Linked DNA regions of Neurospora crassa OR74A. The protein of the gene in region 2 interacts with the protein of the main gene of each other region in a biochemical or structural test. Links are inferred from orthologs where the notes say so. Each region holds a gene or a part of one and is shown on either strand. Other genes may lie near its edges.

Evidence for each region.
Region 1: of the proteins of stk-4 (region 2) and NCU08297, one has a biochemical effect on the other in vitro, tested with the Saccharomyces cerevisiae proteins (2 studies listed by BioGRID). The link is inferred for Neurospora crassa OR74A from reciprocal best matches to the Saccharomyces cerevisiae genes STE20 and CDC3.

Annotation. Positions count from the first base shown.
Region 1 is NC_026504.1:2,500,396-2,502,941, reverse strand, and holds the end of NCU08297 (cell division control protein 3), read right to left. Parts: coding exon 2,524-2,546; intron 2,471-2,523; coding exon 1,832-2,470; 3' UTR 640-1,831; downstream 1-639. Other genes in the region: NCU08296 (mito ribosomal protein S4), read left to right, coding at 1-121. UniProt on the Saccharomyces cerevisiae protein: Septins are GTPases involved in cytokinesis that assemble early in the cell cycle as a patch at the incipient bud site and form a ring approximate 15 minutes before bud emergence, which transforms into an hour-glass shaped collar of cortical filaments that spans both sides of the mother-bud neck.
Region 2 is NC_026506.1:2,078,532-2,083,014, reverse strand, and holds the start of stk-4 (serine/threonine-protein kinase ste-20, variant 1), read left to right. Parts: upstream 1-1,404; 5' UTR 1,405-1,428; intron 1,429-1,535; exon of another isoform or gene 1,536-1,612; 5' UTR 1,613-2,195; coding exon 2,196-3,263; intron 3,264-3,323; coding exon 3,324-4,483. Other genes in the region: NCU03895 (hypothetical protein), read right to left, coding at 160-431, 801-840, 1,191-1,277. UniProt on the Saccharomyces cerevisiae protein: MAP4K component of the MAPK pathway required for the mating pheromone response, haploid invasive growth and diploid pseudohyphal development. Links the pheromone response G-protein beta gamma subunits to downstream signaling components.

The DNA.
Region 1 (2,546 bases), on a different chromosome or scaffold from region 2:
CATCTGCGCGGCCGTCTACCTCCGCCACCCCGTGGCGCGCCCGGGCGAGTCCGAAGTACCGTCGCCTTTCTCCCCCACTATCAACCAACTCGCGTTCAACTGGTACTTACGGAGAGGTTAAAGGAGGTCTAGTTAGGAGCGAGGGAATGAAAAGGGGAGATGGAGGGAGGAACGGCAGTCACTCTCTGCCGTCTCAGAGCGGTAGAATTCGCCAATGGACGATTAGAGTCGCGCGCACCCAGTTTTTTGCATGTCGCGGGTACGCTCTATTGTGCTTGTTGCATCTTCAAGGCAACCTCGGATGATGTGATACTCTGCACCTGCTGCGGCTTCAGTTGGACCATGCGTTGGAAATCGGGTTCGGTCTCGATGAGAAAGCTGCGAAGTGGGCGGCAAATCTCGCGATTCCCGGAGAAAAAGGAGACGGGGATGGATCATGCATGAGATGAGTTGACTTCATACGTATTTTGGGCACATTGCGCGTAACAGTTTGTTCGTTCCTCAATACCCGAACAATCTGTTGCAGACTCATTCAGTTCGCCCCCTTCGGCATCGATGTACGCTACATGTATCATTACCACTATTAACTAAATGGATATAAAGAGGGGCATAGACAAATTTCCTTCTTCTTTGCGTAAGAAAGTCATGAGACAGATGAGAACCACCGAGACACCTACGGTCTCCTCTCTGAAAGCTCAGTGCTTATATAGTAAAATTGCCAATCATAGCATTGTCGATCGAGAGGAGCAGTGCAAAGGTAAACACTTATCACTGAGGAAGACGGCAAAATTCGCCTTGAGAGCGCGAGAGAGAAAAAGGCTAAGAAATAACTATCTAGGAGAGGCTAAGTGTACGTTGAGTGTGTGTATGTTTTATGTGGTAAGCAAGAACCCTCCGTGGCTGGAGAGCGAAGCACCAGTTGAGAGAATCGGCCGGAAATGTTGGGTTGGGTATGACCGACCGTAAACCGTGAAAAGAAAAACCTCCTACAAGAATTCCCCGTGAAATAAAAACATCTGATCGCCGATGAAAGCAGTTAATAAAATACATGTGTTGTTGGGATATCTGGTCGTTCGTTGCTTTTCGTCCAAGTGAGATTTCCCGCCTGTTCCCTTACGCCCCCTTTGCAACTTGCATATGGTGCAACGTCGCGAGCACAATTCAAACCCGACTCCTTCTGATCCCTCTATGAGCTTCTCGGTTGTGAATTGCTCCTCGCTCCCGCCAGCCACAGCATCCTAACCGACTTGTCAGTCATGGTGGCAGCCGGAAACATGATGTTGCCGACAGTCGGTCAAGAAGACAAGGGCAAGCAGAGCCGCGAAAGGGAGTTGAGGGCCTGATTGCTGCTGCGCCGCAAACATCTGATGGGGAACAGCCAACGAATTATCTCTCTTTCTTCTCCCTCATATTTTCGGAACTCAACTCCCTAAAGCAGATAAGAGGATATATCTGTTGGAACCATGCTGCCATTGTGAAGTAAGAGATTCTCGAAAAAGCTCCTCCGGCCCAATTACATCTGCATTAGCTTTTCAAGAACAAAGTCGACCGGACCGCACCCCGTCCCAACGACGGAACACACCGGCTTTTGGAAATTTGACCGTTTACGGCAGCCAACAAATTTCTAACAGAAACCCATCCGGTTATGAAGGGATCTGCAAAGAGACTGTTGGCTTGCGAGGGGATCCTCCCGCAGGATTAGGAGGTTATGATTAGAAGATGAACAAATGGAAAACAGAGAATGAAGGAATGAAGCGGCAGGCCGAGGTGTATGCGGGATAACATGACAGTACAACAGTCGTGAGAGGCGGGTGAAGTTGTTGCCGCAAAATTATCGGAGAGAAAATCCCTTCCTCTTTGTCGGCTCCTTCTCAATTGGCCGCCCACTTTCGATTCGGGACTTCTTCTCCTCGAGCTCCAGTCGTTGGCGCTCCAGCTGCTCCTTCATCTCCCTATGACGAGCATACAGCTCCTCTTCGCTCTGCTTCAGCTTGGATTCCTTTTCAGCAACCTTTTGCTGGAAGACCATCTTCATTTCGGCTTCCATCTTCGCAAGCTTCTGTTCGTGGAGGGCGCGCTCTTCCTCCTGCTTGACGGCTGGGTTCACCTCCTTGAAGACGCTTGGATCTTGAGAGACGCCCATAGCGATCAACTTGTCCGTGCGGTAGTTCTCGTAAAGGACGTTGTTGGTGTGCTCCTTGAGCTCCTCCATGTGAGTACGGATGAGCATCTGGCGGAGCTTCACAAAGTCGCAATGCTCCTCATTGTCCACCTCGATCACACCCCAAGGGTAACGGCGACCGCGAACCTTACGGCCATCGGCGTTTGTGATCTCGTTGGTCGCACCGACAACAGCGAAGGGGACCTTGGACATGATCTCGTTGTTCTCCGCGATGGTCTCCTCATCGTCGAGTTCGTAGCGAGGGCCCTCAAAGATTTGCACCTTGTGGTACTTGATATCCGCAAGAATCTATGATAAACTGTTAGTATTGATCGCAGAACCAGTAGGGCCCGAAGACATACTCTAGCCTTGAAAGCAGCAATCT
Region 2 (4,483 bases):
GCCCGTTTGGCCATATCTACCCCACAAGCCCGGGGCATTTAATCACGGTTGCCGAGAAGCTGCCCCGTATCTGATACGTACCGAGGGGCTAAATCTTGGCTGATGAGCGTGATGGCGATGTGTCGATACGAAATGGTTTCCCGTTTTCAAAAAGTTCAATTATGCGAATACATAGCACGGTCCTATCGCGCCGAGCTTGAACACGCGAGGAGCATGAGCACCTCCCACCTCACTGTGCGCAGGAGGAGGGGTTGTCCCGGCCGTGATTGACGCGGGCAAGCAGAGATTGCGGCTGTGTTGTATGTAGATAGAGGTACTGTACTGACTGTCGAACAGAGACCACAGAACACCGCAGAGGTTGCACGCAGACTCGTTCTCCAAGATGCCAGGCCAGATCAGGATCGGAACCTGGAATGCCCTCGAGTTGACGTCTACATTGGAATCGAATCAAGCTGACGGCGTCAAGCAAGGTCCAGAGCGGGTGTTGGAAGCAACCTCGACGACATGATGCCAAAGTCAAGAGGAAACGAGGGGAAAAGGTTGAAGAGGTGGTGGCGCCCTGGTCCCTGTCAGTCTCCCGTGCAGAGTGTCCCCGCCATCGCCGTTCCGTTGCCGCCGGCGGTTGAACAAAAAAGTGGGCAGGTGAACTGATGGAACTTGAAGCCTCTCACAGGCGCCTTTTCGTGGTGTTGTAGTGGTAGCAGTGGCAGCAGTGGTCGAAAGTGGCTCTCTTCAACTGCAATGGCACTGCACCAGGCAGTCTAGGTAGTCCCACTCTCCCGTCCCCCACCCGTCCCCACCTGCCCTGTCTGGCAGAGGGGACGGGACTGAGATGTAGAACTAGAGGTAGGTAGTGTAGTGTAGTGTAGACTTCAGTTGCTTCCCAGAAGGCCGGACACACTCCCGCTGTCTGTCTAGAAGCCGAAAAGTGCATGTGCTGCCCTCTTGTTGTGCGGTGCAGTGTGCAGATGCAGCAAGCAACAGCCGCCCGACAGCAGTCACGAAGCATTCGAAGGGAATAGGTAGACCTAAGACCGACACAACCTCAATCATAGTATGCTTCCCTGAACTTTGCGTCCGGGCTTCCTTGTCTCCAATTCTCATTTGGCATCTGCAGGCCGAGTGTCCCCGCCCCGCCCGCCGTCCGACCGTCAGCAACACCGGACGACAGCCAGACAACTTCAGACGACAGCAGCAGTAGCAGCCCAGCAGTAGCAGCCCAGCAGTAGCAGGAGCAGCAGCAGCATCGCCGCGCATAGCCGACACCCGTCCGCCATCTTGGGTTCACTCATTTGAGCCCGGCCAACAATAAGTCGATAACGAGTTTGACGAGATTCGTAAAATTCGACAACCCACAAACTGTCAACGGCCACACATCGACACCGACTCGTACAAAGTTGGACCACCATTGGACACACCCTGCCCAAAGCAAGCAATCCCCCGCGCCGCCCAACCAGTCACCCACTTTATCCAAGTCATCCAATCCCTCTCCAGTCTGCGCACTTGTAGCACCAGCACCATACTGCTTGGACTATGCCCGACCTTGCCCTGCTCAATCATCAATTGGGTGCCGTCCACAAGCTAACGTCTGCTCACCACTCTCAAAAGGTAGCCGGACCCTGACCTTCTGATAAGCATACTAAAAAGCTTCGAGATCCATCAAAAATAAATCGTCATTCAAATAGTCTAGAGAAAACAAGCGGAAAAGTGAAAAGCGCCAGCCTAGTCCGAGTTCCCACACAGCAGTAACAACAGAAAGCATCACCCCTTCTTCAACGTACCCAGTCCCCGCCAAACCCAGCATCGCCGGCGGTCCGGGGTCTGTCTTTTTTTCCTACCTTGTACCTTCAACTTGTACACAATCCCACCACAAACCAAAGCGCAATTTTCGACCGGCATCAAGCTTCCAGGATCCCGTCCCCCTTCAATTGTCGACTTTTTTGCTCTTGTCCGTTCTGTGTCTGTGATTCTGGCCTGCCAACTTATCCCGCCCGCCTCAATAACTGCTGCCACCCCCCCAATTCCCGTCTCTTCTCCCAAGTCTCGCCTTCTTTTGGTTGACCCGGCCCCCAGCCAAACCGTCCGCCAGTACCGTACGTTGAACATCTTCCTTGTCTTTTCTTATTCTTAGTTACCCCATCTCGTAGCCCTCGTGCCCTTCCCTACGCTAGGGTTGGGTTTCTCTCGCAGTGACCATGGACGGCCAGCTCTCCCTCCTCTCGCCCACCTCGTCCTCCTCCACTTCGCATAGTCGCAAAAGACTCACAAAGAAGCAACGCCCGCCATCCGCAAATCACCGCACTAGCTCCTCTTTCAATGTCGAATCGCTCCGTATTGACGCCCAATCTCTAGACAGCAAACGGAGCGCCTCCAGCCTGCGCCAGGGCCCCAACTGCAACCAAAGCCCATCTCTGGCCAGGACCGTATCCGTCCCAGTCTCCGTCCCTTCAAACGCGCCCGCCCACACCAAAGCCAGCGACCTCTCTCTGCCACGCTCCCACACCACTCGCTCTCAATCCGCAAATCGCCCTTACAATCCGACGCAGACAATACCAACCAACCGCTTTATCCTCTCGCCGGCCTCATCGTCGCAACCCCAAACTCAATCGCCGCCTTATCCCAGCGCTGTTGCCAGCACCACCGTTACTAGCTCCAGGAACAAGGACACATCCAAGCAGTACGACCCACTAGACTCCTGCATTGGATCCTTCGATCAAAACAAATTATCCACGGATGAACTGATTGGCGCTCCATTCGACGGCAACGCCATTCTCAGTCGAATCGAGGCAACAAAATTATCAGCCGCGCCCGCGCCCACGTCCACGACCACGATTGCGCACTCCAACAACATTTCTCCTCGTCGTGTCGCTCCTCCTCCTCCTCCTCCCCCGCCTGCTCTATCGCGCTCAAACACGGACTCCAAGGCTGCGAGATCTTCAAAACCGTCAAAGTCGCCCAAATCCACCATATCAAACAAGACCATGGGCGCATCTTCATTCCGCCACTCGGCGAGTTTCTCGTCGGCTGAACAACTTCCGCCAAGCGAAAAGCCGTCCAAGTCAGAGAGCAGCTCTTCGAGTAACAAGAGACACTCCGGTGATGGTAAAGAGTCCAGGGTGCCCGGTATGCTAAGGAAGAAGTCGGGCTTCTCCGGCTTCATGAACAGCTTAGTTGGGTCTCCGAAAAAGCCATTGATTTCGGCGCCAGAGAACCCCGTTCACGTCACACACGTCGGATATGATAGCAATACTGGCCAGTTCACGGTATGTTGCCATGCCATGTCAACTAGTCTGAATGTTATGGATGGACTAATACGTTGATAGGGTTTGCCAAAAGAGTGGCAGCGTTTGATAAGCGAGAGTGGAATCACTGAGAAGGACAGAAGAGAACACCCACAAATACTGGTCGATGTCCTCACATTTTACAAGGAGACAACCGAGAAGCCACAGGAAGATCAACAGCTAGAGAAGTTCCACGATGCACGAGCGACAGATTTTCGCAGCCCGCCCGTGACCGGCACCGCTCCGCTCGTACTGCAAACAGGCGTTGGCTACGCTCATGGTCCCATGTCGCCAATGATTAGTCCACCCGCTAGTCCTAGGTTTCCTCAAGTTGGTCATGAGGGCAGCTTTGAGAACCCCCGTGCGCCGCCGCCGGTTCCCAAGGGCCCTGGCCCTCTTCCAGCAAAGGATATCAACTTGATCCCCAGCAGACCGGCACCGAAGCCACCAGCAATATCCACACGACCGCTGGTGCCGCCAGCCTCATTGCCAGCCAAGGATTCAGGAATTGGCATGCCACCGCCCGGTGATGAGGCTCCGATGCCGTACCTCCCTCCCAAGGATAATGTCCAGCATATGTACCAGGAGGAGCACAGGAACAGGTCCAGATCGAATTCCCGGACAAACGGCGCTGCCCCGTTCTCTCCCGTGCAGGCGTCCCCACTGCATCCGATCGCCACGGCGAACCAGACTGCGGCTTATCAGCAGCAATTGTTGCAACACCAGCAAGAACAGGCCATGGCCCAAGCCCAGGCAGCAATGAGCGGTCAACTGAGCCGAGCTGCAAGCAAGAGACAACAACCAACTCCGCCCACCTCACAACACCAACACCCCCGGCAGCCAGACATCAATGGGGCTCCTCGTATGCCACAGACTCAGGGGGCGGCTCCCCAAGCTAGCGCGAGACCCCGTCACAGACCGCGGCAAAGTAACGCGATTGATGTCGTGGCTTCCCTAAAGAGGATATGCTCCGACGGGGATCCGAGAGAGATTTATCGTGGGTTTACCAAAATTGGTCAGGGTGCCTCTGGTGGTGTGTATACTGGCCATGAAAGGGGAAGCAACAGGCTGGTGGCTATCAAGCAGATGAACCTTGAGCAACAGCCAAAGAAGGATCTCATCATCAATGAGATTTTGGTTATGAAGGAGAGCTCACACCCCAATATTGTCAACTTTATTGACAGTTACCTATGTGCTGGGGA